3 linked regions of the Tamandua tetradactyla genome follow. The protein of the gene in region 1 purifies or fractionates together with the protein of each later gene. This does not show direct contact. Links are inferred from orthologs where the notes say so. Each region holds a gene or a part of one and is shown in the gene's direction. Other genes may lie near its edges. The genes, in order: RAB8A, GDI2 and GDI1.

The links.
Region 2: the proteins of RAB8A (region 1) and GDI2 purify together in Homo sapiens (co-immunoprecipitation; 5 studies listed by BioGRID and IntAct, with this or other methods). This does not show direct contact. The link is inferred for Tamandua tetradactyla from reciprocal best matches to the Homo sapiens genes RAB8A and GDI2.
Region 3: the proteins of RAB8A (region 1) and GDI1 purify together in Homo sapiens (co-immunoprecipitation; 6 studies listed by BioGRID and IntAct, counting the BioPlex papers as one, with this or other methods). This does not show direct contact. The link is inferred for Tamandua tetradactyla from reciprocal best matches to the Homo sapiens genes RAB8A and GDI1.

Annotation. Positions count from the first base shown.
Region 1 is NC_135337.1:94,766,215-94,773,679, forward strand, and holds the start of RAB8A (ras-related protein Rab-8A), read left to right. Parts: upstream 1-4,269; 5' UTR 4,270-4,336; coding exon 4,337-4,460; intron 4,461-7,465. UniProt on the Homo sapiens protein: The small GTPases Rab are key regulators of intracellular membrane trafficking, from the formation of transport vesicles to their fusion with membranes.
Region 2 is NC_135333.1:58,228,518-58,235,763, forward strand, and holds the start of GDI2 (rab GDP dissociation inhibitor beta), read left to right. Parts: upstream 1-4,179; 5' UTR 4,180-4,424; coding exon 4,425-4,469; intron 4,470-7,246. UniProt on the Homo sapiens protein: GDP-dissociation inhibitor preventing the GDP to GTP exchange of most Rab proteins. By keeping these small GTPases in their inactive GDP-bound form regulates intracellular membrane trafficking.
Region 3 is NC_135353.1:6,666,942-6,674,726, forward strand, and holds the start of GDI1 (rab GDP dissociation inhibitor alpha), read left to right. Parts: upstream 1-4,445; 5' UTR 4,446-4,542; coding exon 4,543-4,587; intron 4,588-5,655; coding exon 5,656-5,763; intron 5,764-5,911; coding exon 5,912-6,011; intron 6,012-6,138; coding exon 6,139-6,273; intron 6,274-6,782; coding exon 6,783-6,981; intron 6,982-7,265; coding exon 7,266-7,397; intron 7,398-7,785. Other genes in the region: ATP6AP1 (V-type proton ATPase subunit S1), read left to right, coding at 283-323, 1,157-1,242, 1,632-1,867, 2,524-2,571, 2,658-2,889, 3,038-3,247. UniProt on the Homo sapiens protein: Regulates the GDP/GTP exchange reaction of most Rab proteins by inhibiting the dissociation of GDP from them, and the subsequent binding of GTP to them. Promotes the dissociation of GDP-bound Rab proteins from the membrane and inhibits their activation.

The DNA of each region.
Region 1 (7,465 bases):
TTTTCTTAATCCTCACCAGAAAAACTTGCCCAGGCCAAAGAAGAGAACGTGGGCTTACATCAGACACTGGATCAGACGCTAAACGAACTTAACTGTATATAACCAAAACAGAAGAGTCTTGTTCAGAGCTCCGGTCTTTCTCTTCTCTTGTAAGAAGTTTCTTTCGTTATCGCATCTTTCTCTTTGCTGGAAATGTCGAGCAAACCTATGAATCCATGACCAAATATTTTGTTATCAGAGACGCTTTGAGCACCTGTTAAGTTTAATTCCTTCCTCTTTTCCATGGCACTGGCTTTCTCAGCTCTCTTTTTACCCTTATGTTGCATTTATTCCTTAGGCAGGGTATTTGGTTCCTGGGAGACTAGACAACCCCACACTTTCAAGAATACAGACTCCAATATCTAGTCATGGGTCAACTTAAAAGGCTGAAGAACAGAACCATTTGGGCTCACCTTTGGTCACACTACAGGAGGCGAGGGACCATCACATTAGAATGGGTGGGGATTTTCCATCCAGAGCAAGAAAGAAAGAAAAGAAAAAAGGACTCTTAAGGAAAGTCATAAACCACATGCAGAGTAGCCTAATCATCTTGGCTGTTCTCCACACTCCACTGTACACAGCAAACATCCTCTGAGCAGTCAGCATGGAATGCTTGGGAAACAGTCATAATAATAACCCACATTTTCTGGATAGATCCTTGACGTTTATTTCATTCTAAAGTTGGCCTCTGGGGAGCAGATGGCTTATTCCAATAATGCCCCTTGGCTGCCTACCCTATTCAGTAAGGCCATCCGCTCTGGAGGAATGGATATGGCAAAGTTCAGAACAATTCACGGCTGCCATATCAAAGAGAATGCAAGCCATCAGTAAATTGGGCAAAAGGATTTTTGTTTTTTTTTAATCAACAAATACCAGGCAGAAGGGGTCTCTCTGGCAGCAAAGCTGGAATGAAAAGGCTACTGACCCAACTTCATCTCCATAGTTCAGAGAATGGCAAATTGAAGATTTTTAAATTTAGGACTTTAATTCCTTCTTCGGGATCAAGTGAGTAAAAGACCAAGAAACTCCTGATTAAACTGGATTTGGAGCATTTTGTAGACAGAACTGCACATTTTACCTTTGCGATAGTTCTGCTTTCTCAGTTAACATCTCAGAACTGAAACATTCCACATTCCCCAGAAGTGTGGGGGCCAACTCAAGTTTACAATTCCGGCTAAAAAGTGACCCTGCTTCTAGTTTATCCAAATCCCCTGCCCCTCACTCCTATTTATTAAGCATCACACTACCCAGGAGATACACTAGCAAACTGAGCAACTGAATAAAACCCACACTTTCTTGCAACTGTATCATATGTAATAGTATCACTTTTTCTACATTTTGGCCAAATAAATTTTTACATAAACTACAATGTGTGTGAATTTTGGGATGTGTAGGGGAGTAAAAGGCACTTTGGGTCTCAATAGCCAACAAATGTTAATGAGAAGGAAAAGAAGATTACCGTGCCAAGAACTTAGTTAATGTTATTTATTTGCTTTATACCATGATTTCATGATGCAAGGATTATGAGTGCCACATGACACATGAGAGCATTTTGCCTCAGGAACTCAAATGCTTCTGCCCTGTGTCATTCCCGGTCCTGCTCAAGCCGCGCTGGGAAGATGGTCCCGTTATCTGCTAGGGCGAGGTTTCCTGTGTGTTGGACATCAAAAGGAAAGTCAAAGTGAGAAAGCAGGAAGGTAGGCTGGGTTCAGACCGATGAGAATCTGGAGTCAATTTGGTCAGGAGTGGAGTGTGGCTGACGACTTGAGTGATCACAGCAGTATAGTAGGAAAATCAACTTAAGCGTTTTGTTTTCAGGCAGGAAGATGTTTCAATAATCCAGGATAGTGGTTGCCAATAGGAGGCAAGAGATGGCCTGATGGAAATAGCCTTAAGAGTAGCTGACTGCATGGCGGGGAGCTTGGAGAAGAGGGTGTCAGAGACCACTGCAGTTTCACTACCTGAACTGCTTTGGCATCCTGCCTCAAGAGCTCCTTAACTGGGGGTGGGGAGGGAAGGAAATGCATCAAAAAGAGAAGTGAAAGCTTTTCAAAAAGTTAAATACAGGATGCCAGCAATTGTTATCAAATGCAGTGAAAAGCACTTCCCTCATATTAACATTGTCCTGACACTGAGCCTGGTTAGAGGGTAGATGCCATGAATAATGTATAACGCACAGCCCCCTCCCCTGCCACACCACTGCGTGATTGAAGTTTTCTCTTCGCTGTTCTGTTCTCAGCCTTCCCACCACCACCTTCTCTCTGGAAACTGTTTTACTCAGTCCTGTGCCTCAGCACGTAGCTTAAGTGCTCACCGCCTGTTAACCCAACCCACTCCAGCTCTCCGCAACCGCCCACCCCTGTGGCACACGGGTGGATCGCAGGGTGAGGTGAGGGCCAGACTGTGGCGGGGGGCAGGGGTTTGTACACTCAGTAAAGGTTCTGGGCTTTACCCTGCTCAGGGAATACTGAAGGATTTCAACCAGGGGGATGGCTATGCTTAGAGGACAGTGTCTTGGGATGAACTCTGCAGGATTGGGAGAGACCGGCAGGGAGATGTGAGGGCCTGGCTGTGACTCTGAAATGGAGGAGGAGGATTCGGGAGCTATTCAGAACCTCCCCAAGAGCCCGCAGGTAAGGGGTGAGGAGGTGGTGGCCACAAAGGCAGGTTTCACACAGAAGACAGTTCTGGACCAGCAAGCTGGAGTGGAAGACGATGAGTTCAGCGGTGCACACGCTGAGTTGAAAGCACTTTTGACAAATCCAGCGGTAGAAGTCAAGGCCCCCAGAGACGCAGGGATGGGGAGGCGATGAATGAAAAATTGAACCATCCTTGGAGGCCTGGGAAGTCACAGAGTGAATGAGAGGCCCCGAAAATGCGAACAGAGGGCTCGGGACATAGAGCCACAAGGAGCTCCGCTCAAGGCACAAGCCGACATCTGCCCAAAGGCGCTGACGGGGTGCGACGCAGCACCCAGAGAGAGGCAGAACTGGGTGCGGGCCACGGGCCGGCTGGGGAAAGCGCCGAGGAAAAGAGCCTTTCCAGAGGTGACCAATGGTCAGAACAGCGCCGAGGCTGCGGCCTGAAGCGTTTCTTGAGCAGAGCTAGACGGGCCATCCTGGAGCCAGGCCGAGCCTCTCCTGGGAAGGACCTTAAGGGCTTCCAGCAGCCTCTCGCGGTGCCCCGGGGGCGGCCTGAGGCGCGAGGCCAGGCTGACAGCCGGCACGTCGGCGAGGCGGCTCGGGCTCTGAGAGGCGGGAAGGGGAGCGATCCAGGGCTCGGGGTCTGCAGCTGGCCCCCGCCTCGGGTGCAAAACCCATCTTCACACACCTCCGTAGCAGGGAAAGTGACCTGTCGCCGGCCTCCCTTTCCTCCGCACGCAACGGGGATCAACAATCAACATCGGCCTCGGGTCAGTGCGAGGGTTCAAGATATGAAGTGTTGAGAAGGCGGCCTGCGCGCCTCCCCTGGCCCCTCAGGCCCCCGAGCGCGCCTCCGAGGGCGGACGGGGCGTGGGGACAGATCTCGGGGGTCCCCACAACCTCTGATTAGGTCCGCGGGCCCGTCCTGAGGAGGCCCACGCGCCTCAGGGGACTGGGGTGGCGGAGGCCGGGTTATCCCCAGGCGGGCTCCCAGGCCGGCGGAACTCCCGGAGCACATCTCCAGAGGCCGCTCCTCGACCGCGACGAGCGCCCTTTCCCTGCTTTCCTCTTCAGCACCCCGAGACCCAACACCAAGGCTTCCAGCCGCCGCCTCCGCCCACCGTCCCTTCCCGCGCTCGCCCCGCCGTCTACTGAGCCTGCGCGGACTCTGAGGGCGGACCCCGGAGACATCCCTCCCGCCCCACCACGCGTGTGCGCCCTCTGCTGGCGCCCAACGGTCTCCCCAGGGCGCGTGCGCAGTCCTTAGACCCCGCCCCCGAGCCTCCGGCGCACAGGGCCGTTGGCGACGCTCCCTGCCCTCCACCCCTCCCCTAAGGGGGCGGGGCCTCCCCAGAATTGCGGGCGGGAAGGCGTGGCCACTGGAGGTCACGCCTCCGTCCCGTTCCCCGTTTGAAGGCCGTCGACTACTCACCGCTGGCCAATCGTAGCGCGCCCTATCCCGAACGCCGGCCAATGGGAGGCGCGCTGGGACCGCTTCCGGCCCCGCGCGTTGGGCGGGCCTCGGGGGCGGGCGTCGGCCGCGATGACGCTCGGCGGGCCGGGAGCCAATGGTGGGCGGGCTCGGCGCTGATGGACGGGGCCGGCGACCAGTGGCGAGGAGCCGGCCGCACTTCCCGTCGGAGACAGAGTGTAATATGGCGAAGACCTACGATTACCTGTTCAAGCTGTTGCTGATCGGGGACTCGGGGGTGGGGAAGACCTGTGTCCTGTTCCGCTTCTCCGAGGACGCCTTCAACTCCACGTTCATCTCCACCATAGGTAACGCGGCCGGGGAGCGGCCGGGGCCTCTGTGGGGACGCCAGAGGCCCGGTCCGGGCGCGCCCCTGAGGAGCAGGTGGGGAGGGCGGAGGGGTCGGAGAGCGTCAGGGGCCCTGAGGGGCGGAGAGCCCCCGCCTCCGCTTCCCCTCGGGGGCTCCACGGGCCGCAGGGAGCGGGGCGAGTGCCCATTTTGCAGGTGGGGTAACTGAGACTCCCATCCTCAGCCTCTCGTCTAGGAGTGTCTGTCGTGGCCTGGGGTCTTCGCGCCCGTCCTCTCGTTCTGTGCTCGCAGCACACCTCCAGGCGGTCCTTTGGAGGCCCCCCGACGTGCAGAACTGGACACTGAGGCTTGGGGAATTGACCGTGGGGTCGGGACTCGCTGAGCCCCTGTTCTTGTGGCCAGGCTCTTTCTGTGCATTCTCACGCCCCGAGCAGAACTCTGCGTTACAGAGGAGACTGAGGGGAGGAGTAGGGACTTACCCAAGGTCACACGGTCTGCAGGTAGCAAGGATGGGTTTAGAACCCAGGGGTGCCTGACCCCAAAATGCCGGGGGCAGCTGTCGCAGATGGACGCCAGCACACAGCCCTGAGACCCCAGAGCCATGTCCCCAAATTGAGCCCTCTCCTTTGTCCTGTTTCCCATGGGTGAATTTTTTGTCTAGAAGGAGCAGTGAGAGGGAGTTGGTGACCTTTCCCTGCCCTGCCTTCCATCCCAGTCGAGGGTGACAGCAATGACGGGTGACAGCTGTCCACCCTGGGATCCTCATCTGCAAGGAGTTGCCAGATAAAAAAGCCTCAGTGAGAAACAAAAACCAGCCTCCGCCGCAAGCAGCCTCGGCTTCCCTATCGCGTGGCCCAGGATGTCGGTTGTCACTTTGCAAAAGAGGCTTTCCCACACAGCCAGCCCACATTGTGGTTGAGCAGAATTGGCTGGTTGCACCTCAGTTCTGACATCCACCAAAATGGAGCTGACTTCTCTTTGCTCCACAAAGCAGTCATTGCTCACTTGAGAAAGCTGGATCTGTCAGGAACATCGACCAAACGGAGTGGCCTCAGCCAGAGCTGAGAGTTTAGCTGAGTGGAGAAAACCTAGTGGGTGGGTTTTGTTTTATCCCCGTGTAACTTTGACCAAGTCGTTGTTTCTCCTCGAACCCCATGACGAGGGTGCTCAATCCATCCTTGTCCTTCACCTAGAGCGCCGTAAATCAAGTCAAGTGTTAGATGTAAGGTAGAGAGCGTTGGACCAGAGGGCATCAGACCTGCCTTCCAGTAGCTGTTTGGCCTTGGAGGAGTCCCTCCACCTCTCCGAGACCGATGTCTTCAGATTAAGAGCAGAGCTCTCTGCCTTGGCCAGGCCTGGGGCTGAGGATCAGAACTCCACCTGGACTAAGAGGTCGAGACCACCTAGAGGCAGCAGGATGGCTCCTGAGGTGGTAGCATCTCCCTGGGCACAAGTGTATCAGAATCCTCCCCCCTCCACCCTCAAGGTCAGCCCTTGGAATAACTCTTGCCTCCCCACCAACCAGGAAGTGACATTAACTCCTGGCCCACTGTGCTCAGCCCCAGACCTCAGTTTTCCAGCTTGTTCCTCACGTGCCCCAGTGAGATAAATTCTGAACTTGAGTTTTTCATTTGGATTTTAAATCTTCAACCCTGAAACCCCATGCAGCACCTTTAGGGCCCCAGGAAGGAGGCATCTGGACTATTCCATTCACGGACAAGAATACAGCTCTCTCAAGGTCATGCGGAAAGGTGGAGGTGGAGTTGAACTCAGCCTTCTCCCCGCCACCCCAATATTCTTCCTATCACATGTGTAATTTTGCTGCAGCTCTCTGTCTGCCCGGGAAGGTTAAATTTGCCGTTACCTTGAAGTCATGGCCTCATAATTCTTAGCCCTCATAAACTTGCTGCATCCTAATTAAATCTGGTGTGCTCGTAAAACCTAGGAGATGTGCAGAGCAGAGTGCTGTCTTGGACTCTGCATATTCAGCCGTGCATCTCGATTTCCTGGATCCCAGTACATCTGTGTCAGGAAGTAGAGAAATGTTTAGGACAAGCCAACATTGGGCTTCTAAGTCCTGAAATATGACTCAGTGCATAAAGGTGATTTCTAGATTGGCACTGCCTGTATCCCTGGGTTTTCTTTGTAGATCAGAGCTTGCGTGGCTGTTCATTTGCTGCCCAGGGGATGTTTTGCCAGAGGCTCTTCTCATCAGCTCCATTGATTGCTTGTGGTGTGGACTTGGCCTGTGGCTCCTGGAATCAGTTCTCGGTGACCGGGCTGTGTTCACCCAGCACCTCCTCGGGGCCCGTTCATTCCTGCAGTGAGATAGATGATGTCCGGGAAAGGCTTTCATGATCCTACAGCTCCACACACGCCCTGTTGCCCTGAATTCTCTCTTCCAGCCATCTTCCACCCATGCCTCCTGTGCCAGCAAACGCCTCAGGGCAGGGGCTGCAGAGGTGAATCAGGGAAGCAGACAGGTACATGAAGCCTGTGCACAGGGCTGGGCATCTGACAGGTGTTTTGTTCAGCCCCTGCCATTTTGAGCCACTGGAGGTAGAGGAGTGATTGAAACACACGTATCGCCTGCACTCAGGGAACGTATGTTCTAGTTGGTGGGGGTGGGGGGTTGTTGAATCATAGACGTCCGGTCACTTTGGTTCCCAGGACACCTCCTGAGGCTCGTGAGGGTGGAACTCGCATCCTTGGAACAGCTTCCCCTTGCTTGGGGCAGGGGCAGAGGCAGAGGCAGGGTTCAGTTATTTCACCTCCACAGGCCTTCCAGATCCATTACTTATAGTTTCCTGAAGCAAATACGCAAATGTGGAACCTCAGCGCATTATAAGTGCTCTGGACAAAACTAGGCAGGGTGAGGGGACAGAGTACAGGTGGTCAGGGAAGGCTCCCCTGAGGAGGCGCCTGAACAGGGCAGGAGGCAGCCAGATGGCTGTGGAAGAAAAGAACATTTCAGAAGAGGGAAGAGGGACAAAAGCCCTACGGC
Region 2 (7,246 bases), on another chromosome or scaffold:
AGTGGAAAATGATAGATATGTGAAAGCTGCAGGAGAGGAAGTAGAGGTTGGTAGCTATGGGACCCAAAAGAGCACAGATGCCCTTGGGTGGTTAAGATCTTGGCCAGATTCCAGGAACTGAAAGACTTGCACGTTTGGGGTGTAGTGAGCAAGGAGCATATCACTAAAGATAATGCTGAGAGATATAGAGGCCAGATTAAACAATTCCTTGTTGACCATATTAAGGAACTGGCAAATTTATTCTAATGTGAAAGATATGTAGAAGCATCAACATGACCAGATTCACCTTGTAATAAGACAATAGAATAGATAGGAGGAGAGTCAAAAGTGGGAAGTAGACCTGGCCAGGAAACTGCTGCCAGTTCTCTCCAGTGGTCTAGGAGAGAGAAAAAGGTGGCTTGCTCTAATATTTTCTTTGCTTAGATTTAGTCTCTTCCTTTGTGAAGTGCAGATGGAGGCCCAGTAGAAACATCAGCCAACTATTTCCAACTACCCATATATAAATTCGATCCCCACTGAACTCCTGCTTTGTGTAGAGATCTGACATGTTTTCAATCAACTTACTTCCCCCAGACCTAAGTTTCACTCTAGCAAGAACTGCCTTCTGGACTCAGACTCGGATGAGAGGACCTCTGATGGTGTTGTGACCCAGAACAAAACTAATAATTCAACAGCAAGTGTCACGGTTTCTGCTGCCACTAGTATTGAACCCATTTCTGCTAGGAAAGTATTGCCAATGTCCATTGCTAGACATGAAATAGCAGGGATGATAAATTCAGATGCTGACATTAATGAAGATTCACCTCCTCCACTACCCGAAAGAACTCCTGAATCTTTTGTATTAGCAAGTGAACATAATACAACTGTCAGATCTGAATGGAGTGAACTTCAAAATAAGGAACAATCTGAACCAAAAAATCTGAAAGCCTGATAACCTCTAGAAATGAAAAATCTGATCATCCAGCAGAAGGGGTTCACAGAGACTAGTATAGAATGTTCACTTACTTTCAGTGAGAAGAAAGATCAAGTATCAGAAAGCCCAACAGAAATCAAAGATAGTGGTGGAAAACCTAAAGGACCAAGAGATTCACCTTCAGAACGGACATGATGCAGGAAGATAAAAAGACTTCAAATTATAATGGAAAAATTCAAGTGCCTCTGAAAGCCAGATTTATAGTATTCCATCTTAAAAATGTGGGACTAACAGCAGTGTAGATTGTTACCTTAATATCTTTTGCTGGGACCATCTACCTGCCTTATACTACACTTAAGAAAAAGTATTACATATGGTTTATTTTGTAACTTCAAGTATTATTGCCTTAATGTCTCTTAACCCTGTTACACACTGCTTGTAAACATGTCAATATAGTTATACTTTTATGATAAATATTGAGTTTAAGAACTACTCTTTTGCTAATGTTTTATCATGTATGTGTTATTTTGTATATGTACAGGGGAAGTAGGTATATATTTGATAAGGCTGAAGTCATAAAATATTATTAATAGACGATGTAAGAAATCTCTGCATGGTCTAAATCTTTGTGTACCTTACTTGCAAATTATTTGCCCTGAAGTTTTAGAAAATAGTTTCTGAATTTAAAAACTGCTGGATTCATGCAGCCAGCATTGCAGGTTATCAGAGATCAAAGACTGTAATAATATTTTGTAAATTGTAAGCAAAAAGTTATTTTTATATTATGTACTGTCTGATTGTCCATCCTAATTGTTCTTGTTTCACATCTAATCATGGAGATTCAGTAAGTGTCTTGCAACAATATTGAATTCCCTTAGCTTGTGAGTGTTACTTTAATATTTTAACTGAATTGGGATTAGAAGACTATCAAAATATATGTATGTTTCAGGATATTGGACTTGACATTAAAAAAAAAAAACACAGTTTTGCAGTGCCAAAAAAAAAAGAGAACTGCCATCTGTGGCCTGCTTTGCACTGAACCATTTAGTGGCTTTTAAGCCACTTCAACACAAAGAATATTTGTTAATTGTTGCCAAAGTTCCTTGTCAAGTTACCAAGTTCCTTAGATGGAGGTGGAAGACCCAAGAATTTGGAAAGACTTGATCTGTTGATCATGTGTAGTTTTTTTTATCCTTCTGCAGGGCCAAAAGACCTAGTATGACCAACAAGCAAATATTAAGACTAAGCCTTATTAGCCTTAAATTCAGATCCTTCAACCCAAGTCCTTAATCTTTCAGTAACTCCATCTGAATATCGATGAAATATCCTTCACTTAAAACATGATCACATAATTCAGCTGATAATGCTTAAAACCCTCTTCAACACCCAGATACCGATGGCTATACACGAAAAAGGCTCTTTATTACTATTGTTACTTTTAAAAAGCAGAATCCTGATTACTTTTAGAAAGATAAAACAACAAACAGCAGGAGCTTCTTAAGGTATCTGTTTAGGAAATAGAAAGTCAATTGCACCAATGGCTGTATAATTGGTTCAGTATTCTAGTAAACTTTGCACCTGATTTTGTAACCTTCTGAAAGTGCATTCGTTCACTAATGTTTACAAATTCAGTTAACGTTGTATTTAAGAGCTTGCTCCCTCCTCCCTTACTCCTCCCCAAAAAGTCCACTGTCCATTATAACATACTTTCCTAAACTGTCTCTATGGGGTGAAGAAACAATGTAAAAAATCGTTACCGTTTATATGTGTGAAGATTTCTCAATAAAAAAATACATTTTTAAAAATTTACCTTCTTTCCTCAATCTGAAAGATTTATACGGAAGGGAAGGGAAATCCTAGTGCCAAGATTCATTTTGAATAGGTCTTTTCTAGCTATAGTTCAGTAAATCTTGAGGAAAATAGCAAATCCATACTGTCTGCTGAGTGTGCAATTCATTCATGGCAGAAAGCCCAAGTTTACAACTATCAGTGCCTTTAGGAAAATCACTTGTCTTGAAGGTCTCTCTTCGGGTTAAGAGAACGCAAGCCACTATTTAACATCTGTCTTCAAGCCCAAAGGTGGAAATTCCTGTGAGAATCCTAAAACGTGAGGGGATGAGGCGCAAGGGGAAATAAAGGCTAAACCCCCTTTCATTTCCTGGTCAGCTATTTCTATAGCTGGTTTAAGTTATAGCTCTCAACAGGCAGGGGTAGGTCTGCTTCCAAATCACATCTCACTTTCCCTTTTATTTGTGCTAAGGGTTACTTTTCATTGATACGTATATATTATATACTCACATACCATGTAATCATTCAAAGTGTACACTCAGTGGTTTCACAATATCATCAATAAGGGTTATTTTTTAAAAAGAGGCGCTTTTTTTTTTACCCCAAATTTCTAAGGACGCACACGGGCAGGTACGTCACCACGCAAGAATGACGTAGTGGGAAATACTGTAAAACACATAGAAGGTCCGAACTCCCAAAAATGTTGGATCATTTTCCCTTTGCTTTTCAGAAAAGTGAAGCAGGAGGAAGAGAAAAGTGAAACAGAAACTAAGTTACAAGTAACAAACATGAGACCCTGCACCTAGCACTCCGGCACCCCGAGGCAGAGAAGCTGTTTGGGCGCCGAGAGCACCCGCCCAGTGGTAACGCCAAAGGCTAGTCTGCCCATCCCGCCTGCAGGTTGCAGCGGGTGTCTGGCCACGTTCTGTAACCTCCCCAGCCAGCAATCCCAGACCTGGCATGAAAAGGGGCTGCAAATCCTTGAGGAACGACAGCCGGGGATGAAGGGCCGTGACGCAGTCCGCGTTCCTGAACATGCGGCAACCTGAGCACCCCACAAGTCCCCCGACCCAGCGGTGCCCCGAGAGCTCCGTCTGTCCCACGTGGCCGCAGGCAACACCAGAAAGCGCACACCGGTTCAAAGTCCAAGGGCGGCAGTAGGGGACAGGGAGTTGGGCCGCGACTGCATTCCCAGAAAGGCTTAGGGCCACTCTCCTCCTTCATCCGGCCCAACCGACTCCCCAACCCCCGCCCCGCCCGGAGTGAGGTCGCCTCCGCTCCCCAACCACCGTGGCAGGGACGAAAAGGGGAACCGGAACTCGAGATGCCTACGCTCCATTTTCTTCTCGCGCGAGGTAGGAGAGGAAGAAGGTTGGGCAAATGATGGGGACGTAGCCAATGAACGAGCGGGAGGGGCCTGATTGACGGCTTCCCGCTAGGTCCCTCCCCCGGGCCGAGAAGGGCTGCCGTCTCCTGCCCCGCCTTCCCCCCTTCCTATCCCTTCCCCCGCCTTACGAGCTCTTCTCTTCCCTTCTGAGGTGGCGGCTGAGTTCGTCTCCTCTTCAGCTCCATTTTACCGCTGGTCCTATTTGCCCTTCTCTCTGTTCTCGAAACCGGTCTGAGCGTTTCCTCCGTCTCCTCCGCATTGGTAGAGAGATTCCCTTTCTCGAGAATCCCTGCGCCTTCACCTTCGCGTCTTCTATTCTCTCTCTCTTTCCCCGCCATGAATGAGGAGTACGACGTGATCGTGCTGGGCACTGGCCTGACGGTGAGTCTCAGGCGACGGCCGCGGCCGAGGCGCTCGGGAGGGAGGAGGCCGTCAGTTCCGAGATGATCCGGGCGGCCGGACTGGGCCAAGGAGGGGAGATAGGGGCGTCGTGCAAGGGCGGATGGGCAGTGCCAGGGAGATCCGGGTGGCCCGGCCACTACGTGCCCTTACCCAGGCGGCAGCCTTTCGACCTCCTTGGCCAGCTCGTCTTGTTGCTACCGGCACTGTTCTCTTGCTCCTCCGACCTGTGGCTGGAGGAGGCGTGGGCTCTCCCTCCGGCGCGAGGACTCACAACCTGCCGGCCTTTCTTTTCCCGAATCCCGGGTTTGCGGTGACTGCCTAGGGCCAACCGCCTTGCAATTTCGTGTGTCTACGTTGATACTTTCTTTATTGGCCTGCTCTTCTTTTTCTTTTCTTTCTTCCTTTTTTTTACGGGAAGGTATTGTCGAAGGGTGTTGGGAAAGGTTTTCGCTAGTTGGGTGCATGAGTTTGGAAGGAGTTGCAACCCGCGGCAGTATCCAGCACTCTCCTAACCTCATGGCAGCCTAGGTTGGTGGAGTGTGTTGTCTCTAATGTGGAAGGAAAGACCAGGAAATTGAAAACCCAGGACTTTAGTTTGAGGAGCCAGTTAAGTACATGATGAAACACTAAGTTTGAGATAAAAGTAGGTGGAAAACGAGAGTTTCACTAGAATTAATACAGAATTAAAAAGGAAAGAAAAAAGAAGCCTGGATAGGGGTATCAAACGCTTTTCCACCTGCCTTTGGGTTGTTAAGCTCTCCGGGTTGGAAACGGAAAAGCGCAAGGCAAAGTGGGGGAGGGTGGAAGCCACTCGCAGTTGCATTTCCTATTTAGCCTGCAACTGCTACTAGTCAGTCTTTGGCCGCCAAGGTTAGGTAAAAGGTTTTGTGACAAGTCGTCTGGACAATTACAGTTTTGTAATTGTTAGAGTTTAATTAACTTAAAAGTTTGGAGGAAATAAATTTTGTGGTTTTTTTTTTTAACCTTCCCCTCCAGCACAAAATAAGAAGCATTATCCATTCCTTTTAACCTCCCTCCCCTCCTACTTTTTGAGCGTTCATAGAATGGGAATGAGTTTGTTTTCTCAAAACTTGTCTGTCAGATGTTTTGCCGTCTTTTCCTTTTGTTTGGTTTGCCCCTGCCTCCATCGTCTCTTCCACATGTTTTATCCTAAAGAGATGGATTGATGATGGATTGCTAGAGGCCAAGTTCTCTCTCTGCTGCCATACTCTTCCGGGATTTAGAAGACAAATCAATAACAGCATTAAGAATCGATAGTAATAGGAATGCAAGGCTTTCTTAATAGTATGGTATATTCATTTTCCTGTGTATCTGTCTGTTTAGAGATCTGGAGATAGTCTGCAAATAATTCAGGCGGGTGTTTTATCTTTTTTTTTTTTAAGTATTTTTCTTGAGGTAGAGTCACATACATACAGTCCATCCAAAGTATATAATCACTGGCTCACAGTATCATCACATAATTGTGTATTCATCACGATGATCATTTTTAGAACATTTGCATCACTGCAGAAAAAGATATAAAAAGAAAAAAACACACATCCCATACCCCTTTACTCCTCTCTCATTGACCACTAGTATTGCAATCTGTCCACTTTTTTTTTACCCCTTACCCCCTTCCACCTCCATTATTTATTTATTTTTGTCCTTATTTTTTTACTCATCTGTTCATACCCTGGATAAAGGGAACAACAGCCACAAGCTTTTCACAATCATGCAGTCATATTGTAAAAGCTATATGGTTACACAATCATCTTCAAGAATCAAAGCTATTGGAATACAGTTCAACAGTTTCAGGTACTTTCTTCTAGCCACTCCAGTACACCATAAACTGAAAAGGGATATCTATATAATGCATAATAATAACCTCCAGGATAACCTCTTGACTCTGAAATCTCTCAGCCACAGAAACTTTATTTTGTCTCATTTCTCTCTTCCCCCTTTTGGTCAAGAAGGCTCTCTCAGTTCCATAATGCAGGGTCCTAGCTTATCCTGGGAGTTGTGTCCCACATGCAGGGGAGGGCAGTGAGTTTACCTGCTGAGCTGTCTTAGAGAGGTCACATCTGAGCAGCAAAAGAGGTTCTCTGAGGGTGAAGGTGTGTCTTGTATTTCTTTTTTTTCATGCTCTTTTAAGAAAAGGAAAACGGTTATTCTTGTAAAACAGTTCCATTTGAAGGCAGGACCAGTTTGAGTATCAGACTCCTTTGGACATTTGAAATTCTACCTTATGGCTACTTCTTGTCTTAAGCAGAGCACTGATGTATATCTTGTGTATCCTAATCAATCTAACCTCAAATTCCGTAGTCATTTGATGCAAAACACAAATTCAAATTGGTAGAAACACATTGTAATCCCTCAGGACAAATTAGTATTTTTTTGAAGTAACACCACAAAAGAACTACTTTAGGTTTTTCTAAGCAAGAGGAAACCTTCAAATTCTTATTTGGCCAATTTTATAAGAAAAGATTGTTAAGAATTAGCACTGCATCTTTCTCATCTTGTCATATTTCTCTTCATAGTAATTTAGGGTGATTGTTGAAAAGTACTCATTTCTAAAGGCTCCATTATGTTTGACCCGAAGAAATATTACCAGATAGATGAGATTACTTACCTACAGAGTTATTTACAGTTTTTGAATGACAGATTCAGTTGAATTTCATTTTTGGTAGTGAGTTGGAAGACTGTTAGGACCCTAGATCACTAGGCCTACCCCCTGCATGTTTTTTATTTGTTTGTTT
Region 3 (7,785 bases), on another chromosome or scaffold:
TCCCAGAGAGCCACCTAGTTGGAGTTTGCCGGCTCCATGATAGGGATAGTGGGAAAGGACAGTAAGCCTTGAGTATGGGCTGTGGAGAGGTGGAGAGGCAGGAGTTGTGGGAGAAGGGCCAGCCCCACGTTGGGGAGGGTGCAGGAAGGCCAGCTGTTTGGGACCCAGGGCCAGGGCTGCCCCAAGGAGGGGCTCTAACTCTCTTGTCTTTTCCCAAGAAGGGGCTCTAACTCTTTTGTCTCTTCCTAAGAGGGGGCGCTAACTGTCTTGTCTGTTTGATAGCTCTGGACTGATGGCTCCAAAGGAAGTCCTCACAGGCAATGGTGAGTGGCACTGGGGACAGGTGCCCCTTCTGTGACACCCCTCGCTGGCTTTATCCAGCCTTGGACCCAACTGGTGCCAGGACTGCCAAGAGCAGGCTGGCAGAGACGGTGCAGCAGTGCCTCAGCTTCTTGTGCTCAGTGGGGCCCCAGCCCACTAGTAGCAGCTTTCAGGACACTGCATGTGGTGCCCAGGCCTCAATGCTCACTAGCCGGGGCTCTGCCTGGCAGTTGGGTCATGAGGCCAAGGAGCCTCTGTGTGCTGTCTTTGAGTGTCTTTGAAGAGAGCTGTTTGGGCAGAGCCAATGCAGTTTTTTGTTTTTTTTTAATGCTGGGGTTTTATATTTAATAGACCAATAATGTTTCGAAAAGCAATTTTGAATACATGTAGATTCTTATTCCACTGAGTGGCCCAGGACTACTCTAGTTCCAGGGGAGGCTGGAGAGAACCTGGGAAATAGCTGCCATTGGCAGGGATCATGGGTGGCTCGTGAAAATGCCAGGTGAGAGGGGTGATAGGGAACAGGCTCCCTAAAGGGATTTCAGTCCCCCACCACAGGTGACAGACCAATTGCAGGGAAGGGGGCACTTCACAGTGGAGACATCTGGTGGGCCCCACTGCCATCCAGTGACCCAACTGAGCCTCATCAGTAGGGGGACCACCTGACAGCACATGTTCCTTGGTGTGAGGTGGCCGAGTGATGTATCAACACCTCTGCAGCCTGGAACTTTCCAGTGGGGCTGGAGATGTTTCACAGCCTGGTTGGGGGGGGAAGTAGTTCTCTGAACGGGGCAGCTGTGTGACCTGCTTCTCTGCTCTCCCCACCTCCCCCCAGACGAGGTCATAGGGCAGGTACTGAGCATGCTCCAGTCGGAAGACGTCCCGTACACAGCAGCCCTCACGGCCATCCGCCCTTCCCGGGTACGTGCCCTCTTCCTGTGAGGAGAACCCGGGCTCCCGGAGAGTCCAGTGTCAAGGGAACTTTGGGTAAAGGCTATGTGTGGAGCATCTTTGTGGGGGGGGGCGTTGAAGAGTAAGGTTCTAGTCCTTCCTCCTCTAGCCAGTGGTCTTTAATCTTGCCCTCTGAACCTTACGAGTTAGCACACTATGAAAATAAGCAGAGTGCTTCCTACATTTAGGGGATTATGGATATGAGCAAGGCTCGAGGGGTGGCTGGAGGAGAGCCCTTTGCCTCCATCCAGTGGGGCTTTGAGGCAGTGGAGAGCATTGCCCTGTAGGGAGAGGGTGGGCAGGAGAGTCGGAGCTTGGTTCCAGGCTGTTGAGAAGTGGCCTGTTGGGTGTTTCCACAGGTGGCCCGGGATGTGGAAGTGGTCTCTGGGGGGCTCGGTCGCCAGCTGCTACAAAGGCAGATGCTGCCAGAAGTGCCCCATCACCCCGTGAGTTACAATGACACAGCTCCCCGGATCCTATTCTGGGCCCAGAACTTCTCTGTGTCATACAGGGACCACTCAGAGGACCTGACCTCCCTCACCTTTGGCCAGGATCTCAACCTGACCGGCTCCTTCTGGAATGATACTTATGCTGGGTAAGGGGACTCTGGCTGGGGAGGAACCGTGGCACCCGAGGCGATAGGCCTGCCCAAGGCGGGGCTGTGTGCCGGAGGCAAGCGTGGCTGTGGTTGCTGTGGGGTGTGGTAGCTGTGGGGATGTGGGGAGCTGGGGGGTGCTCCAAGTTCTACCACCTCAGGGCTTTCTGTTCCCCAGTTTGGACCTTTGTTTATACTTTTCCTGTCACCTGGGACCTATGCCTTCCCCTTGAGCAGAGCCTTTTGGAGTGAACACGGGCAGGTACCAGGCCCTGTTCTGGGTCTCACGCATACTTCCTGTGTGGCTAGAGAGACTGCCACCCTTTGTTTGATTCTACCCCACCTGCCAAGTCCAGCCCAGACACATCAGCAGCCCCAAGGTGGAGCCGAAAGGAGGAGGAGGGGATCACTGTATTCCAGGCCACCTGAGGAAAGAACTCAAAACTGGAGTTGGGAGACCTGGGTTATGGCCCCAGCTCTATTCTTGACTTGGAGTGTGATGGGGGGAAAGTCTCTCTCACTCTCTGGGCCTCAGTTTTCCCATCTGTATGGTGGGCAGCATGACCTCTTGGGCTGACTCTGATGCCCTGGGGGCAGCTTAGGTGGGAGGAGGCCCTATCTGTGCCTGACCCCATACCTTCGACTGTGATTCTCAGGCTCGCACTGACCTATGAGCAGCTCTTTGGTACCATGGTGACCTTCAAGTAAGTCCTGTGGGGGTGCCAGAGGTGTGGGCAGGCTGGGATGGCCCGGCTCCCAGCACGCCTGACTACCCTGGGCCCTCCCCCAGGTTCATTCTGGCTAACCGCTTCTACCCGGTGTCGGCCCGGTACTGGTTTACCCTGGAGCGCCTGGAAATCCACAGCAATGGCTCCATCATCTACTTCAATGCCTCCCAGGTCACCGGGCCCAGCAACTACTCTTTCCACTGCCAGTACGTCAGCAGCCTCCCCGAGAACGGCAATCTCCTTGTGCCCCGTACTCAGCCCTCACTCTGGGACCTGACTTTCCAGGACTTCCAGGTATGAATAGGGGCAGGGCCGAGCTGGATTGGGGGTATCGGGGCCACGGCAAGGGGTGTGGTGGCAGAGGCCTTGTCCAGGGTGGGATGGGGGAAGAGGCTGGGAGGTCCCAGCACAGTTTCTGACTTGCGTCCTGCTCCTGCCCCAGATCCAGGCCTTCAACGTGACGGGTGAGCGGTTCTCCTATGCCAGCGACTGTGCAGGCTTCTTCTCGCCGGGCATCTGGATGGGCCTCCTCACCTCCCTGGCCATGCTCTTCATCTTTACTTACGGCCTGCACATGCTCCTCAGCCTCAAGACCATGGACCGCTTTGATGACCACAAGGGCCCCTCCATCTCCCTCACCCAGATCGTGTGACCCCTGCATGGAGCCCCAGCTGCCCACAACCTGTCTTGCCCCCTCTACTCTGCAGCCCCTGAGGGGCTTCCCAGGGGAGGCCCCCTCCCTGCTCCAACCCCCAAGGTGTTCATATTCTGGATCTTAGACAAATCTCCTGGGTTCCCTCAGTGTGAGGGGAGGGAAGTTCTAGGGACCCGTTCCTTCCCCCTCTTTTCTCCTTATTTATTCCCGTCTGGCCAACACCACCTTTTGCTGTTTATAGTGCTTTTGTGTCGCAGACAACGCTCCCAGGCTGAATGGGGCTCCCTGAATGTGGGGGCCTCAGCCGTGCTCTTTTATTGTTTGTCTTGCTTGGCCGTCCTGCTAGGATACATTGTTTGGTGATGTCGTGTTAAAAATAAGTAGTACACCGGGGTTTCTGTCTGTGGTTTCGGAAGGCAGGAGCCTCCATGGCGGGTGGTTTGGGTGCGATCACTGGACATCTGGCATTTCCCCAGCAGGAGTGCCTGGCGCAGAAGCCCTGGGTACTCAGTTGTGTTTCCTTCATTAAAATAAAAATGGGTCGCCTTGCTTTGGGCCTCCGCTTCCTCATTTCCCCGCTGAGCAGAAGGGATGCGCTTGGCCGCGGACCGTGCGGGCTGTGGGAGAAGGGGCCCGGATGTGGGCAAGCCGCGCGGCGCGGGGGCGGGACGGGGGCCGAGAGGAGCAGGCCGACAGGTGGACAGGCCTCGCGGGGGTGGGGACCCTAGCCGGTTAGGGTACGAGGGGGAGGAAGGCCGCCTGGACCCTGACCACGTCACCCACCCCCCCCAACCCCGAGGAAAACACAACTCGTGCCCCCCACCCATCCTCCCCGCCCCGGCGGGGGCCACCGCAGCAGCGCGCACCCGCGAACGCCGGCCCGAACGGCGCGGGGGCGCGCGCGAGCCTCCCGGGGGGCGGGGCGGGGCGGGGCGGGGCGCGCGGCTCCTGCGCACGGATCCCGATCGGAGCCGCAGCACCGGCCGCCCCGCCCGCGCGTCCCTGCCCCGCCCTCCACGGGGGCCTTCCGCTCCGCGGACGCGCCCGGGGAGCTGCGCTAGGGTTATGGTCCGGGACCCCGACAGCCGGGCCGGGGACCGCACGAGGGACGGCGTGCCCGCCCGGGGGCGGGGCAGGGGCGGGGAGCGGCCGGGACTCTTTGACGCCGCGGAGGGGTCGTGCGGCTGACAGCCGTGCCGCCATCTTTGGTCCAGTGCGGCGGCGGCGGCGGCGGCGGCGGCTGAGGTGAGGGAGGAGGAGGAGGAGCCGGCGCTGACACCGAGGGCTGAGCCATGGACGAGGAATACGACGTGATCGTGCTGGGCACCGGCCTCACCGTGAGTCGGCGTCGGGGCCTGCCGGCTCCCAGGCGGGCGTCCCCCGCGATGATGCGGCTCCCGGTCGCCCCCTTCCCGGTCCCGTTCCCCGACGCCGCCTGCGCTCGTCGTTTTCCGAAGGGACACCTCGGTGTCCATCCCACGACGGCGCCCACCCCCATCGCGGGGGTGCCGTCGCCTCTAAAGGGCCCCTCCAGCCCGGCCGCCCCCGCGCCGCGTCCCCGGCCTTCTTCCCCTCCCTTCGCCCCCCCGGGAAACGCAGCCCACCCGGGCGATATCCTCTCCCACCTTGCCTGATTCCGGCGGGGGGATGAAGTGCTGGCCAGGGTAGCCCCCGCATAACCTGTCTTCCTCGCGTCTCCTGGGGCCAGGGAGTCCAGGGAATGTTCCAGAAGAAGCTGGAGTGGGGGCAGCACCCCCCTTCCCGCTCTCCCACCCCGGTTTCCCATGGAGACTAGGGCTGAGGAGGATCCGCAGCCTTTGTCCTTGGGTTGGGGACACGGATTGGCGCGGATGTTTATCTCCCCCCTCTTCCCCAGCACCCAGTGGGCCGGCTTCCCAGATGGATTCATGGCCCCCAGTCCGTGGCCCAGAAGGGTCAGGGTCAGGGTCTGAAAAAAGAGCAGCCCAGGCAGGGGTGGCAATGAGCCGAGCCTTTCCTCACTTCCCTTCCGGGGAGGGGGCCCTTCGTGGTCCCACTAGCTCTTCTCTCCATCTCCTCTGTGGCGGGTTGTGTCATATTGTCCTGGCCCTGCATAGACAGAAGACTTTCTTGGCCGGCTAGTGGCTGTCCACGTATCTGCTGGATGCCCTCCTTCTCCCTCAGGCCCTGAGTTAATTCTTTCCTTATTGCCCTTTTGGCCCCACAAGGTGGTGACAAAGGAGACTGGAGCCAGGTGACCTATCACCCCCACTTTTAGGATAAGCGACTAACCTGGGAAGGTGTCATGGGAAGAGCCATCCACCCCAGCAGGACCCTTCCCCGGGGTTGGCTCTCCTTTCAGGCGTGGGGATGGGAAACAGCCAGGGCTGCTGGTGGGCACGTGGGCAGGTGGCCTCTTCTTGCAGGAATGTATCCTGTCTGGGATCATGTCTGTGAACGGGAAGAAGGTGCTGCACATGGACCGGAACCCCTACTACGGGGGTGAGAGCTCCTCCATCACACCCTTGGAGGAGGTGAGGCGTGGCCCAGGCCTGGGCGAGACTCCTGCTTAACTTTGCCGTGCGGCTCGAGGCCGTACCTCACATTCTCTGGGCCACTGGGGTTGGGGGTTAGGGAGGGAGGGGACAGGCCTCAAGGTATCTCTCTCTTTCTTGCTTGCAGCTATATAAGCGTTTTCAATTCGAGGAGGGACCCCCTGAATCAATGGGCCGGGGCCGAGACTGGAATGTTGACCTGATCCCGAAATTTCTCATGGCCAATGGTGAGGAAGATGATGGAGGAATGGGGGTGAGGGTGATTAGGAGGACCAGAGGAAGAGCAGTCAGGCTGGAGGATGAGGAGGGATTCCCCCCCCCCACCTTGCTCTTCTCTCCCTACCCACCCCCCAGGGCAGCTGGTGAAGATGCTGTTGTATACTGAGGTGACTCGCTACCTGGACTTTAAGGTTGTTGAGGGCAGCTTTGTCTACAAGGGGGGCAAGATCTACAAAGTGCCGTCCACTGAGACCGAGGCCTTGGCTTCCAGTGAGTGTGATTGCCTTGGGCCAGGGAACAATGCCGGTGAGATGGGCGTTCTCTATATGGGTAGAAGTTGATTGACAAGAATAGGGAGTGCCTGGCCGGCCTTAGGCTGCATTCTGTAGGCAGTAGTGTACTCAAGGCCCCTTGCTCTGTCATCCCTCACTGCCCTTCTCACGATTCCTCAGGCTCAACATTGGAAGGGAAGTCAGACACGGAGGCTGGGTGGAGAGGAGACTCCCTGGGAGAAACTTCAGCCTTTGAAATAGTCTCTATTTGACCCAGGAACCCTAAGTGTGGTAACAGGGAGGGCCCTTAAAGTCTGTCCCACTCAACCCCCTTTTGTACAGATGGGGAAACCGAGGCTGAGAGGGGTAGAGAGCTTAATCTAAGGTCCCACAGCTTCAGTGCCAGTACTCCTCCAGGAGCGGGTTCCTGGCTGCTGGCTCTACCGCGGGGGAAAGAGGAGCTTTACTTTCAATGCCTAGTGCATCTTATTATAATGTTTCCCGCAGATCTGATGGGCATGTTTGAGAAGCGGCGCTTCCGCAAGTTCTTGGTGTTTGTGGCAAATTTTGATGAGAACGACCCCAAGACCTTTGAAGGGGTCGACCCTCAGACCACCAGCATGCGTGACGTCTACCGAAAGTTTGACTTGGGCCAGGATGTCATTGACTTCACTGGCCACGCCCTGGCGCTCTATCGCACTGATGAGTGAGGGGAAGCTGGGACAGGGCGCAGGGCTTCCTTTCTGTGGCAGCAGGAACATCCCTGGATGTTCTGTACCCCCATGCCAGCCTGTTCCTCTCTCTATTCACTCCTCCCACCTCTTCTATATCCCTCACATACTCAGCCTGCTGTCCTTCCCTCCCATCCCTGGATTTGACCCATATTTTTTCCCCAGACCATCTAGGGTGGTAGGGAGGATGACCTGGTGCCTGGGTTTGGGTAAGCTGGGGGTTCTCCTGTCTTAAGTATTCCCTCCCCTGTCCCCTCAGCTACCTGGACCAACCCTGTCTTGAGACCATCAACCGCATCAAATTGTACAGCGAGTCCCTGGCCCGGTATGGCAAGAGCCCCTATTTGTACCCACTCTATGGCCTTGGTGAGCTGCCCCAGGGATTCGCAAGGTGAGGCATAGCTTTCTTTAGTCGGTATTAGCAGGTAGGACTTCAGCGTTTCTGTAGTGTTTTCTATTTTCTCGTCTATGACCTTAGTTGACTTGGCCATCATACTTGGGTCACACGGGCCCAGGAGCATCTGGGGGTGACTTTGGGGGTGAGGTACCAAAATCTCCACCTGTGTGGTTTACTCTGTTCGTGGTCTGGTCAGGGGCAGCACCAGGAGAGGCCCTGAGACCCAGAAACTTGATTTGGGGCTTGGTCAGTAGCCACCTCTACTCCAGAGCTGCCTTAGTTTCTGGCCCCATGGACCATTTCCATGTGGCACTGCACCCTCATGGCACCCTTCCTCCTCGCCTGTTTTTTTTTTTTTAAACAACAAGCATTTATTGGCTTG